2 linked regions of the Struthio camelus genome follow. The protein of the gene in region 2 purifies or fractionates together with the protein of the main gene of each other region. This does not show direct contact. Links are inferred from orthologs where the notes say so. Each region holds a gene or a part of one and is shown on either strand. Other genes may lie near its edges.

What was found.
Region 1: the proteins of HDAC4 (region 2) and RUNX2 purify together in Homo sapiens (affinity purification with western blotting; 3 studies listed by BioGRID). This does not show direct contact. The link is inferred for Struthio camelus from reciprocal best matches to the Homo sapiens genes HDAC4 and RUNX2.

What each region holds. Positions count from the first base shown.
Region 1 is NC_090944.1:13,669,297-13,677,275, reverse strand, and holds the start of RUNX2 (runt-related transcription factor 2), read right to left. Parts: upstream 3,023-7,979; 5' UTR 1,134-3,022; coding exon 834-1,133; intron 1-833. UniProt on the Homo sapiens protein: Transcription factor involved in osteoblastic differentiation and skeletal morphogenesis. Essential for the maturation of osteoblasts and both intramembranous and endochondral ossification.
Region 2 is NC_090947.1:2,715,349-2,722,237, forward strand, and holds the start of HDAC4 (histone deacetylase 4), read right to left. Parts: upstream 3,019-6,889; 5' UTR 2,927-3,018; coding exon 2,740-2,926; intron 1-2,739. UniProt on the Homo sapiens protein: Responsible for the deacetylation of lysine residues on the N-terminal part of the core histones (H2A, H2B, H3 and H4).

The sequences.
Region 1 (7,979 bases), on a different chromosome or scaffold from region 2:
GCCCGCCGGAGAGGCGAGGGGCCCGGCCCCCCGGAGAGGGCTCAGCCCCGGGCCCCCCCCGGCCACCCCTCGGGGCTGGGAGGACGGGGCGCCCTGGGGTGCAGGTAGCAGGAAGCCCAGAGCGGGGTGGGGGGGGCACCCATTTCGCCCCCCTACGGCCAGAAGGGGACGAATACCTCCTTCTGGGGAGGAGGGGGGCCGCTAAAAAAAGGCCCCCAGCACGCAGGGAGGCCGGTGCCCGGCGCTGCGCGGTGTTCAGCGGGGGGCGGCACCGCAAATACCGGGATCGCCCCCCCCCCGCCCTCCCCCCGAGGGGCGCGGGCAGCGCGGGGCGAGGCGCGGCGGGCCTTGCGGGGGGGCACTGCGGGGGGGGCACAGGGGGCTTGGCAGGACGGGGGGGGTCACAGGAGGCTTGGCAGGACGAGGGGGACAGAGCAGGCATTGCGGGGGGGGGCTCAGAGGCATTGCAAGGGGGGGCACAGGAGGCATTGCAGGACGGAGGGTGAGAGCAGGCACTGCGTGGGGAAGAGGGGGGGGCGCACAGGAGCGATTGCAGGCCAGGGGGGCACAGGAGCATTGCAAGACAGCGAGGGAGGCAGAGGAGCCGCTGCAGGACGGGGGCGGGGGGGGGTCACAGCAGGCGTTGCAAGGGGAGTAGAGCAGGCATTGCAAGACGTGGGGCACAGCAGACTTTGCAGGACGGGGCGGCGGGGGGGGGGGGGCAGAGGAGCCATAGCAGGCCGGGGGGGGGGCACCGCAGGCATTGCACGGGGTGAGGGGGGGGCAGCGGCGGCTGTGCAGGAGGACGCGCGGCGCGGGGGGGGGGGGCTCACCTTGAAGGCCACCGGGAGGGTCTTGTTGCAGCGCCAGTGCGAGGGCAGCACGGAGCACAGGAAGTTGGGGCTGTCGGTGCGGACCAGCTCGGCGGGGTGGTCAGCGATGATCTCCACCATGGTGCGGTTGTCGTGGGGGCGCAGCCGGGGCACGGCGGCCGCCGCCTCTTGCTGCTGCTGCTGCTGCTGCTGCTGCTGGGCTACTACCACCGGGCTGACCTCGCTCATCTTGCCGGGCTGCAGGCTGCTGGAGGGGGGGCTGAACCTCCGGCTGGTGCTGGGATCTACGGGAATACGCATCACAACAGCCACAAGTTAGCGAATTGGGGGGCGGGCGGGCGGGGGGGGGGGAGCGGCAGGGGGATCGCTCGAGGAGGCGTGTAGTGGGGGGTGGGGGTTGTGGAAAAAAAAAAAAAAAGGCCAAAAAAGGGGTGAATGAAAAAGTGGAGGGGTGAGGATAAGGGGCACCAAAAAAAAAAAAAAAGGCAAAATAGGCCAAAAAAAAAAAAAACCGCAGCAGCAGATTAAATGCACGAGGCAAAAAAAAAAAAAAACAACAACTCAGTCTGTTTGGTTGTTGGTTGCTGTTTTGTTTTCTTTTTTTTTTCCCCCTAAAGCAAGCTGGCCGGGGCGGGGGGCGCTGCAGCCGGGAGCGGCACGGAGGGAGGCTGCGGGGTGCCGGGCGGCCCCTCTTAGCAAAGCCCGGCTGGAGACTGCATGGTCCCGGCTTGTGCACAGCTGCAGAGCGCCGCTTCTCCTCCTCCTTCCTTCCTTCCTTCGTGCACAGTCTCTCTGCTCTTTTCCCTCCTTCTAGCCACCACTTCTTCTCTCAAGTGCTTGAATTTCTTTCCTCTTGTTTTTTTTTTTTTTCCTCTCCTCTTCCCCTCCCTCCCCGTCCTCTGTTCGGATTTTCAAAGGTTGTCTTGGGAGAAGTCAACTAAAGCCGCTGCTTTAGCTTCCTGGGCTGCTGCTGTGTGCGGCCGCCAGAAGAGGAGCGTAACTTTCAAGCGCGGAGAGAGGGGGGGGGTGCTAAGGGGAAATGTCTCGATTTCCTCCGAAGAAGTCTTCCTCCTCCAAACAGACCGAACAAAAATGAAAAGGAGAAGAGGAGCAACCCCAAAAAGCCTCGGCGGGACAGAGTGGAGGTGGCGAGGAGCCGCTCGGCTCCCCCGCTTATTGCCTTTGGCTTCAGGAAGCAGCGGGAAGCCCGAGCTCGGGAAGGGGCTTTGGGAAGGGGCTCTGCGAAGTCGCTCCCCAAGTTATTTCAGCGGGAAAAGAAAGCTGCTGGGCTTCGCGAGTGAGGCGGAAAGTCACCCAGCTAATAATTAAAAGAGCGTATTTAAGCTGGTTCCTTTGGGAGCATCAGGAGTTAAGAAAAGTTCGAACTTCGGATCTCCAGGGGGAAAAAAAAAAAGCGGGGAGGATAGATAGGAGGGGGGAAAACCCCTTTTTTGGCTGATTTTTAAAATATGCCCAAATAAATGCTGAGAAAAGGCAGCCTTGGTGCAGTCCGGTCTTGTTAATTAAGTCGCTGCTGGATCCAAGTCCGTTGAGTTGAATAGGCTAGCAAAAATCTTTCTTTTTTTTCCGCCCTTGATGAACAACAGCAGCAACAAAAAATCATTAAAATGTCGGGTTGTTTGAGTTATTTTTCTTTCTGAAAATCGGATTTAAAAAAAAATAACAAACTTCTTTTGGGTCCCGAGAAGTTGAGGTCGGGGAAGATGAAGGAGCCGAAAAAAAAGCCACAGCTTTTTTGTCCTGAATGTGGTTTTTGGAGGCTGGGATTTCTAATGATTAGGTTTTTGTGGTTTATATATACAGGACTCTCTGGCTAAGGCGATCATTATGCTGATGAGAGTCAGCAGCACGTGGTGCTTCAGTCCTCATCCTTCTGCAGCCTTCAAAATAAATAAAACAATGTGCATCCCCCACAGGAGCAGAAACTTTCCTTTAAGTCGATCTCACCCTCGGGGAGGGGGGACGGGGGCAGGGGAGGGGGGAGAGCAGGAGATTGCCTCCGATCTCTACTTCTCTCCGGGTTTTTTCCATTAACACTTTTTTGCTTGTTTGTTAAAAAAAAAAAGCATGAAAAATCTTGTTTGCAAAAAAAAAAAAATCTAGTGCCAAAGGGTTTTTTTTTTTCGCTAAGTCTCCGGTAGTCTAAAGCCTAAGACATTTCCTTGAATGAATGAAAGCTATAAAACCCCCCTCAGACTGTTAAGGTAAAGGGAGTCTGGTTTGTTTTCTCCCTTAAAAAAAAAAAAAAAAGGAAAAAAAAAAGAAAAAGGGCAGATCTTATTAAAAACAATTTACATACCCAATAGTAAAAAAGTGTAAACGCCTCCCAGTGCAGATAACAACCTATCACAACCCTCCCTCTAATTTCTAAGGCTTTACTTCGACTTGCTGCTTCCACCTTCTTGTAAAAAGTCGGCGCTGCGGGCGTGCTCCTTGCTCGCCGCCTGCGTGTGACTCGGGGCGGCTGTGAGTGTGTGAGCGTGTGTGTGTGTGTGTGTGTGAGAGCGTGTGTGTGTGTGTGTGTGTGTGTGTGTGTGTGTGTGTGTGTGTGTGTGTGTGTGTTTCGGGGGGGGGGGGTATGTGCCCTCGCTATACAGCCTTTAAAACACATAACCGCAGCACGGTGCCCCCCCCAACCCCCCCCCCCCGAAAAGCCGGGTTTGCCCCCGCCTGCCCCGCCGCCTCCCGTGTGAAACCCTAAAGCGCAGCCGAGCGCCCGCAGCCCCGTTGCGGCAGAGCCGCCGCGGAGCTGGCTGCGCGCCCGCGGAGCCTGCGCGCCTCGGCCCGGCGCTGCCCCGGCGCGGGCGGCTCGGCCGCCGGGCTGCAGCGCTGCTCCCGCCTCGCTGCCGGCGGGCGGAAGAAGCGAGCGAGCGACGAGCTCCGCGATCCGGTCGCAGGGGAGAGCTCGCGCTCCGCGCAGCGCGCAGCGCGCCTGCCCCGGCGCGCTGGGCGCATCCCCGGCCGGCGGACACCGACCGACGTCTGCCCGCCGCGGTTTTCCCACGGCTGGAAGGCGGAACAACAGCCCCCCGACCCATTGCCTGGCAGTCATTTACATTTTGGGTTGCTGTTGTTGTTGTTGTTGTTCTTTCTTGTTTCCTTTTTTTTGTTGCTTTTTTTGGTTTGTTTTCCTCGCCAAATGTTGGAGGGCACGGGGAAGTCTTCTCGCCGCTTGCGAAAGCGCAGTGGGCGCGGGCGACGGCGCAAAGCCCCCCGGAGCTCGCCCGCGCCTCCGGCAACGCCACGGGTCTGACTAGTCCCCTGAAGTGCTCGCAGGCGCTTCAAAAAGGACAACCACCCTCCACCTGCAGGGGCTAACATCAGGGATGTTCAGCAACTCTGGTTTGCTATGCTTCCAGTAGCGAAAATATCTTTTTTTTTTTTCCATAATTATTTTGGTAAAAGGTTCATGATCATGGCTTTTTGGCTTTTTTCCCTACTTTAGCTGGAGGGGAAATACATTCCATGAGAGCAGGGGAAAGGTGTTAGAAAGCAGAGGTTGTCTTATATCCAAATACTGTATTAGCCTGACTATTCTGATTTATTTTATTTCAAACAAGAAGATCCATTTCCAGTTTTAATTAGTCGCACTAAAAGTTTTACAGTTGCCTCTCTTCCTACTAAAATAAAATAAAAAGTTAATTAGGATAAGCTAAAGTGAGTTATTGGAAGCTACCAGTGTAAGGTCACTTAAAATAGTCTATGGTTATTTATAATGTAGAAATAAAATTTTCCACTGAACGCCCTGACAAAGTTTCAGGTATCTGGCACAGCTGATTTTCGGTCTCCTAGCAAAAATATCTTTCTGCTGAACATTTACACATTTAACAGGAACTTACTACAGCCTGGAACAGATCACAGCTCAGAGCACTAGAATTTTATTTAAATGGTTATGGACAAATTAATAAAACTACTAGTAATGTTTATGGACTCGCATAAAGGCTGGATGGGATTTTTCAGAAATAGTAATTTATGTTATGATATATATAATCTGGAACGTTGGCTTAGATTTGGCTGAAGTGGAGAGCAACCCTGCTGCTCGGCTTTCCTCAGTTTTTATTTCAGAACTTCTCGGAATTTTAGCACTGGTTGCAAAATGGGTCGTATTTTAAGATTTTAGAGAATCGTTGGAGGTTAGAGAAAATATGTGCTTGCACTGCAAAATATGTCCTAACAAACACGTTCAGATCAACTTTATAAAATAAGATTTTCATTAGTCCAGCTACTTTTCCTGCAATTTTGATTTTTTAGCTTTTTCATTTTTAACCATGCTATGAGTACAGCCATAATTATATTACTTTTTGCCAGGAAGGTAATGTTTTAAACAGCTCAGTGTTTGTTTACTGTTACATTTATAAAACTTGGGCCCAGCACTCTCCCGTTGTGAGCATCATATGCTCAAGATGAAAAATAATTGTCAAATTTGAAAGATTCCAACCTGGATGATGTTTCCTAAATAAACAGTTTTGGTGCCAGTTTGTTGGGCTGGAATGTGCTGTAAATATGATGAATACTGAACTTATTTTGAGCTTCTCTGTATATGTAAATAGCCTTTGTGCAAAGGGAATAAATGAATGGGTTCATCGGGTTTGTTATTGCATTGGGTATTTTTAGTGCGAGTGACTACAGCTATGTCAGCAATTATTACTATAGTTAAGGGTTTGCCACCATTCTCCTTCCAAAAACTACCTTCTCAGAGTTGTTAATTCACTCATGAAAATGTGCATCCAGTTGCAAAACTGAAGCAACTAATTCTACCTAAGCTTTTGCCCAAACTTCCACTCCTTTCAGTGGGAGCAAAATAAGGTCTAATGTCTGTTGGCAGCACTTTACTTTCACTTTGGTTATAAGTTGACTGTTTGCCCAGCTATTCTTTGCTTTTTTAAAGTATGATAAATACTAAGTTTAAATTTGCAAGTTTATTAAGTATTCATGCGGCAACGGGCCCTGTAACTGCAACACTCATATTCAAATAACAATCTGCGGACTGCCTTGATTCGCTTAACTACTGCGTCCCTATCCCACTGATTTATGGCCTAGATAAAAGAAGATTCTTTGTGTCCTGAAATCTGTCAAAAGCATTTAATACTTCAGCACCGTGCACTGATGTTTTTTTAGTGTTTGTAGTCTCTGGCGCAAATGTAAGCACAGAAGTTTGAAAGACAGGATAGGAAATGATTACATTAAAGAATCGATCTTCAGAATATTACTTTTTTTCCCACAGTATTTTCTAGTACGAACTGAGGACTGAGAGCTGAGATTCTTGGGTTCTATTTCAGGATTTGATGCTGACTTGCTCCGTGACCTCAGAAAGTCACTCAGCATCTTTTGGTTTCAGTGTAAAAGGGGGTCATTACTTTTACCACGCACTATGAGATGTAAAAAATACATGCCAAGTTTTCTGAAGTCTAAAGATTAACAGGGCACTGCTAATGTGAAGGATACCAATAACACCAGAAAAAGAAACTCTGATTGCTAATAAGAAACCTGCCATGTTAGGACTGAAAAACTGTTGGCTTCTCCATGACTCGCAGGGAAATAAATGCACATTATACAAACAACGTAAACAGATACCAAAGTCTGGATTTTTTTCTTAATGATTTATATTCTGCTTTTCTAATACAGATAGACTGCAAACCCGGCTCTCAGTCCTTCTGTAGGGTTCTCCCGTTTCCCTCTCTGTTTGCAACCTCTTATGCCTTATTGGAATTCCATGTATTTCAATAAAGCTTAAAGCAGCAAATGACCATATTGTCCTTGGGAAGGGAAAAAATGTGGCCCTACTTGTCATCTTACAATCACTTTTTTAAGAGGAAGTATGGCCTGTCTTTTCTGGCAGTAAAAATCTGAATGTGTCAAATGTTTAAGAGAATTTTGGGCCTTTTTCAAGCAAATTATATATTTTTTTGTTTGTTTGCAACGTGCAAACTAAAAGTTAACTCTGCAAGTTGTTAGTCTCCATAGTTAGGGACAAACTGGCTTTTCATGACGGGATTGACTTTGCCCCTTTCCATTAATCCTCCTCACAACTTCTGTATAACTCATTTCAGAATCAGGAAGAAGAATTTTGTCTTCCTTGAATAATTTCAGGCAAATTCAACACATATTTTTTTGAGATGTAAAGGCTAAAAAAATGACAACTTACATTTTCCTTTTTTTCCCCCCTTCTTGCAGTGAATATAAAAACAGCATGAGCCAGAAACGTCGCGGTTATTTTTTCTGTTGACCTCCATGAAAACTAGTTCCCTTAACTAACTGTGGGGAAAGTGGGTGGTATAACTGTTTGTAATTAAAAAGGGTTTATGCGTTTGGAACCTTGCAGAGTCCCTAAATTTTGCATGCTGGTTTTTAAGAGACTAATGAAGTGCACTCCGGCCAGATACAAGCTCCATAAAGCTCACACAGAAGATACTACAAGATGTAAGCGAGCCTTGGGTGGGTGAGGTAGTTTTTAGCGTTCCCAACCACAAGCAATACAAATTTTTGCATTTACCCTCTAATGTCGCAATGGTGAGGATTCCCCTTGTAAATCTTTTCTTCATAGTCATAAATGGCAGAAAATTTTTTTGGCAGATTCTGTGTTAATAACATGAATCTAGAAGTTGGAGCAATAGAAAAACACCCAACAGTGCAAGACTTGTTCTAAAAATGCTTAAAACATACAACACTGAAAGGGGTGGTGCACTATTCTACAAGAGTGAAATAGAAGAATAAGGCATATGTTAATGGAAAGTGGGAAGTATACATAAAGTAGATGACAGTATACCAACTGTTTGGGGAACTACAACAATCAGTCTATTTTGACCTCTCTCTCTCTGTCCAATGATGAACTGAGCATGGGCAGGCCAAACCAGAGAATCAAGAACATAATCATATTTATGGCACTTGTATGACACAACGTAGTTCTGAAAATGCTGAGCATCCTGATTGCATGTTAGCATAATACACATGTGCCCCAAATTAAGTGTGACCTTAAGACCTTCGCTGTGTGGAACATAACCTAGGATCAATCACTTAGTCGATCACTGTGGCGTTGGCAGCTGTGTTACAGAAGACTGCAACGTCAATCCCAAAACAAGCCATAAGAGCAGATGACAAAACATTAGACATCACATCTAGTAATAA
Region 2 (6,889 bases):
CAAATGTTTACACTGGCCATTTTTTAGCAGAGAAAAGATATAATGTCATCCGAGATGTATTTTCTGGTATTTATTTTGAATTAGTGCTCTTTCCAGGATATAAATGAAGGCTTGAACAAAAAAAAAAAGTTTAACACAGTTGAAGAATACACTTTAAAAATAGTTCTCTTAAACAGAGCCTATCTGAACCGTGCTTCTCAGTTCCCTCAACACAGTTTTCCAGATGAGACTGGCATCCTGCTACACATACACATAGTTTCTTTGTACATTAAAAAAAAAAAAGTCTAAAAGCACCTTTCCAAACCAAAAGGCAGCCCAAGAGCTTACTCGCAATATTTAGGTACTGGCAACAAGAGAAGTTTACAGGCTTTACATGCATGCCACAGAACAACTCAAGGTTTGGGGGATCTGGTTTTTGAGTGTTTCGTTTTGTTTTCCTGGCATGAAGGCGGTGGGAACGGGCTTGTTTAGAAACAAACGGTTCTAATGACAAGTAGGGAAAAAAAAGCTGTCTTGTTCATTTAGAAAGGTTCTCCTTTCTAGCTGAGATTCGCTTCTTTTTAAATCCTGCACAGTGATAGCTACCTGCCCCTCTCCCAAGTACCTGTCTTCTTTGGAAAGGGCTCAAATTTATGGGGAAAGAAGAAAAAGAAAGAAAGAAAGTACAGCAAAGTACAGCACACACAAACTAATGTGGTTGGAGGTTTTATTGACACTTGTTTGCAATGACCAGGATAGCTCTTACAGCTTTACCACTTGTGAATAATGCAGACTTTTAAAGACGAAAGTCAATAAAACATTTATGTGACATAAATACGTAAAGTATATTCAAAAGGGAGGTGGGTTTTTTCTTTTTTCTTTTTCTTTTCTTTTTTTTTTACCCCTTAACTAACACTAAGAATTGGCAAGAACTTGTTAAGCAGCAAGGACAGAACTACATAATTTATTGCCAAGTGCGATATCTAATAGTAACAAACAAAATGACAGATGAGAGAGATACCAGTACAAGGAGCCATGCTCACACCTCTGCATGAGTTCCAAACGGATAATTTAGGATTATCAAATCAGAGGTATGGATTTTTTTTTTTTTTTGTAATTTAAAGCAACAATGGTGTTTGAAATCAAAACCCCTAACAGATTTTGCTTGAGCTCTTCTCTCCGACCTTAGGGAACCTCTGCTTTAGAAACACTTCAAACATGAAAAAGAAATACAGGAAGGAGTAAGAAATGATGATTAGGAGAAGAAAAGTTGTTTGTGCTAACTTGCCATTGGGGAGGGAAGTTGTCAGAACAGATGATCCCACAGCACAGCAAACACCAACCTAGGACTCCCCTGTCCAACATCTCCAGTGAGAACGCTCCTGTAAGACCTTCCCAAATCCCAGCTGCGGTGTAAAGAAAATGGTCCAATTTACTGGAAGGAAGCAAAGGCACATCTATTTTAGAGTCCTTGACATGGTCATCAATATCTTTACCTGGCTGTAAAAAGGTTATCATGAAAGTAGAGCTCACAGTATGACCCGGGAAAAAAAAAGAAAGCTTTATTGCCTGTAAAATGAGTCACTAGACTAAGAGGAAAAATAGGACAAAGCAACTGAAAAAACAGGTATCACTACACATACTGTGGTTCAAGGCTGCAACACCTCAACTCTTCTGTACTTTGTGTAGCTGAAACTTAGCACCGGTTTGTTTGGGTTTTTTTGCACGACCGTCAACAGTCTTGCCTTTGGTAAAGAAAAGCGAGCCGCTTAAACATAGCAAGTATTGTGACTGCCATGCCAATATGCATCTTTAGAGCTGACTCCAAGCGTGTTTCTTACACATGCAGCTTTAATCAGAACTGAAACAATCACTAACTCGGAATGTTTCGCATAAATCTGATAAGCATTTTCTACAAGCACAAAACGTTTTAGTCTCTACAAGACATCTAGAAGACTGCTGCCTGGTAACTCATTCATAGTGCTTGAATACTAATTTGGCAGTTAGGGGAAGAAAGGAGAGGGGAGGTGTTATGATTTTATACATGAAATTAGTAGTAGTAGTAGCAATGAACAGGGGCAGAGAGATTATCATGACACTTTCTTTTCACTGCTATGGGAACTGCTTTGACTTAACCGAGCAGCTTCACGTTTCCGTGCTTACACCAAAAGAACACAAAGGCAATTCGGTTTACACTTCTTGGAAGACAATGCTGTTCAGCATTACCACTATTTATAGCATGAAACAGTTCAAGGTGCATGTTGTTGCAGACAACTGAACGGCTTGTTTTCATGGTAATTGATCTATACAGCACGGGATTATATAAACAGTTGTTCCTTGCTCATTCCCACTCCATTAGCATCTCCCATGATAAAAATGTACTTGTCAATACAGCAGCTGCTATCAAACAGCAAAAATGCTAGCAGCTGCAAGGTCTTTAACTTGAAACTCTAGGTGAGTTTTGTAAAGATGTTCAGAAAATACAGCTGCTGAAGCTTTTGCATGCAGCTGTATACAGCCAGAAGAACAGCATGCTAATCTGTTTCCATGCTATTCTTCTGCAGTTTAAAGAACATAAAGCCACTTTTCTCAATTTCACTAACTATAAATCCCGGCTTAAGCATATCTGCACTAGTCTTTTTGAATTTTCTTACTGAAAACAGAATCTGCATACCAAGTTTGCAAAAAGGACAGTCCACTTCCTGTAAATGTATTACTTCTACTTCATTGGGTTATTATTTCCCGAAAACGTATCCTTACCTTTCTGCATCCCTGCAGAGAAGATACAACTATGTTGTGCCATGGAAGCAAATGCAGCGTGCCCAAAATTAACCACCGCTCTCTTTTCAACACTGTAGGATTCTAACATATCGCTTTGAAGGGTGGCAAACAGATCGGCCTCAAACAGTCTAGTACCGGACCAATCCGTGAATGTCAGAAGAAGCATTTTGCTTTTTGAGACGGTGGAAAATTCATGCTTGCAGTTGGAAGCTGGAGCCCCGCTTGAGACCGAACGTTCTTGCAGCGATCACTGCTCAGGTCGGGAGCACCAGAAATACAGGCTGACTACCGGGAAGAGATCAAGGGGTGAGGTGGTCAAAGGTCCATGGCAAACCACATGCGTTGTACAGCACTATTTCATATGCGGTGCCGTCAGAAGTATGCCTCGTTCGGGGCAAAACTCACCTTCATGATTTTATCACCGATCACTGAGGCACAGCACACAAATGAAATGCAGGCAACTGTCTAGCACACAAATGAAATGTAGGCAACTGTCTTCAGAAGAGAGAAAAAAAATCCTTCTGCACTTATTTGTCACTTGAGGCTCACTGAGGAGCAGGGAGCTGCCTCTACCACCACTGCCACCTCCATACCAGGAACAGGGCAGGAAACACATCTCCTGCATACACAGGCAGCCTGACATCCTGCAACGGCCACTGCCACCCGCTACACCACATCACCCTGACTATGGTATCTGAGCAAACAAAGTCTGGGAACCTGCTATAAACAGGTAGAAATGAATCTGTCAAGCTGTTAAAATGAGACACTTATATGTGTGTTTAGCTGGCATCAGCCAGTACACTCCTCATAGGTTTTAAATCAATTAGATTTTCAGAGCTTCACTGGAGCAGGACCCAGCAGCTCCAATATAATTCTACAGTATAAGGAGTGTCCACTACACTAAGATTACTTATCATTTCTCCACTTTAAAATTTAATTACAACTTAAAGAAGAGAACTGAGGCTGGAGTTTAGTTAGCAGATATTCAGAGCTTGGGGCCCTGAAACTCACTTTTCATCCACAATTAGAAGCCGGAGGCAGGGGGAGGGGGGCAGCAGGCACGCAAAGGGGCAATGACACCCATACACTTTGTTTTCCCATTAGTGATTTGCAGTTTAATTTTGCTGGCTGTGCATTGCAAAATCCATGCTTACCTAAACACTGCCTGTTGAGCAATATGGAATATAGATCTGTTGCAACTGAAGCAGAGAGAACCAGTTGATGCAGTCAGAGGACTATCCCGTCTCTTTCGAAGTTCCCTCCTGCTCACTTTATTTCCACAGCCAAGATAACTCAATTCTGCTTTTCAAGACCTCAGAAGAGAAGCATACAAGGTACATACTGCAGAGCGGAGCAGACTGCAATAAATGCAACCACTGGATAGCAGGTTTTCAACACTGGTTGTAACAATTCATTTGTCTACATAGCAGGTTAGCTTTGTGGTCTTTATCACAAAGTGAACACCTGCAGTTAAGCATGGACATGGACGACTGTCCCCTGTAACAAGTTGCTGGGTCTTTGCGCAGCTCAGCTTTCCTGGCTACAGGGTTCCTCAGAGAAAAAGAGATGAAAAAAACATGAACATTGCAGCCTAGCAACCACATTGCAGGAAAGAGTCGTTCCAGAGAAAGGAAGTGAAATTGGCTAAGGCTGGAAGGCCATCCTACAGAGTTTAATTAAATCTCAGCATTCTACTAAAGCACTTGTGATTTCCCAAACTCCAAAAGAACAACCAGAGATACATTTCAAGAGCCTTTTAAGGAATTCACATAAAAGCAGCAGTAAACAAGCAAACGGAAAAGTTAATACTGAGCATTGTTAGAGAAGCCTCATCACTTGAAGTGGAGGCAGTAGCACAATACATTCACCTAACACAAAATTATTTTTGGAAGCTCTCTTGCAATGAATTCAAATATAAACACCTTGAAATATGAGTTTACTCCAAAATGAGCTGTAGAAAGCATGGTTAAATTCCAAGGCCATGCTCCATGGAACAGAACGCAGATCAGAGTTTTAACACCTAAGCCCACCTTCAAGAACATCAGATTTAAACCAAAGTTTCTTTGAACAGAAAAGCTAAGAATGCTGTATTGCAGAGATTGATCACTCAAATATCCACAAATCCAACACAAATTTCATCGATTTTAAATACAGTAACTGAAACTAAGGGCATTATATTTTTCAGGAAAATATGTTCACATCCCTGACATCTTTTGCAGTTCAAAAGATTTCATCCAAACTTTTGTTTTAAAACCTAGAGTGTCCCAACTGACAAGTCAGTATTAAAGCAGCTTGCCTACCTGAACAGAAGTATCTGCAGATCCAGTATTACACCCTCTACACCTGAAAGCCACCACCTTATTCATGTGTGCAGAAAGCTCTTCCACTTCTACATCTCCCAAGTTAATACAGGCTCTACAGATGTATTGCTGCAACCTCCACAGTTTGTGAGAAGTTATTTGCCACTTCATAGCCCAACTCTTAACACTGAGTTGCTGTGAGGCATTTTTTCATTTTACGTTTCAGAAGAGTAACTTCAATTCAATCTATCGCTCTGTCTTATAATAAGCAAAATATTTTCGTGCACAGGAGCCATTCTGATTAACCAGTGTTGTCCTCGCCAACATCACTTCAATCCTTCACCTCCGCTCTGACAAACGGGGCACAGAGACAAGATGCTTTGTTCTGCACAGGAGATACATACAGATATTTGCATATGCATATCCGTAAACATTTAGCAGTAGTAGTAACTCCCATTATATCGTGAAAACTCTATTAGGCACTGATACTGCTTCAGGTTGAACAGATCCTTGTATTCACTGGACAAACAGTTTGCACATACACCAACAAATCATTACATCCCATGCCTTTTTTCCTGCACCGCTCCAATGAGTTCCTGCAGGAAGCTTCCAATTGCTTAAGCAGGAGAGCTCGGCTGCAGAGGAGACAGCCCTGCATTCGTCTACCCTGTGTTCACGTTTGGAAGGCACTCTGTGCATCAATCAGAGCATTTTTTTTTTCCTCCTTAAATGATGAAAGGTTCATTTATTCAGAAACTGGTTCTCTAGCTTACCTGGGAAAGCTTCCCATTCACCACAGGCTAGAGGATTTTTCAAGACATGAATGTCTGTTTTATGAACATCTGCACTCCATGAATACTCAGAGTAAGAAATTTATAAATGCAAGGATTGTGCACACAGGCAATGCATCATATCTGTAAGGAAAAAACATTAGATGCAAGACAGTATAAAAGCCTAAACTAGCATTGGTCAGAGATCAAACTACCTCATCTTCTAATATTCACAGTAGAACATCCCCAGCTACTCTCTCCTTACAACATCTAAACTCATCTCTCTCCAGTACATTCTTCCAACATACATCAGACACACAGTCCAAAAATCATCATATTCCAAGTGTTCCACGGATATGCAAAACAGACTACAGCCCCATTTCATGCAGGTCCTTCTTATCCAGTGTGGAGCAACTAACTATAAGGCAACAAGATCTTTAAGTAGAAGACCTATAGCAGGTGAAGCTACATATCCTGAATAGCTATCTAGAACATAAAGCTGGCCCCAATTCCTTCTTCACTGAGACAAAATGTCCTGCAATGATAATTTCCCTAGCATTCCCCAAAACCTTGCAACAGTTGACTTACCTTCAAAGACCGGGTGAAACACTGGAAATGCTGGATTTTGGGGGAAAGTGATGGGGAAATGTAAGCATGCCAAAAAAGATTTATGTATCAGTCTAACAGGCCAGTGGATTCTTTCAGCTATCTCTTCTTTCCAGGGAAAGACCCCAACGATTTAGAAAACAGAAGCTGCCCCAGAATGAGATGTGAAACAGATCCTCTTGACTCTATGCCACGCTTAAGGTCACAGATAAAGCACACCTTTTCTAGCAGTGGCAGCAAGCTGGAAAATAAGCGTTACTATTTAAAATAAATAAATAAAAATTTTAAAAGAATTACTATAAAAAATCAGATATATAAGCAGCAGGGGAGATGCATGTATTTTACTCAGCAGGCTTCATCTGCTGTGAAATTTGAGGTTTCATTGCAAGCACACTACACACTGTTTGAAACCAGCACCAGCGAAGTTTACTCCTCTACCAGTAGACTTTGTTT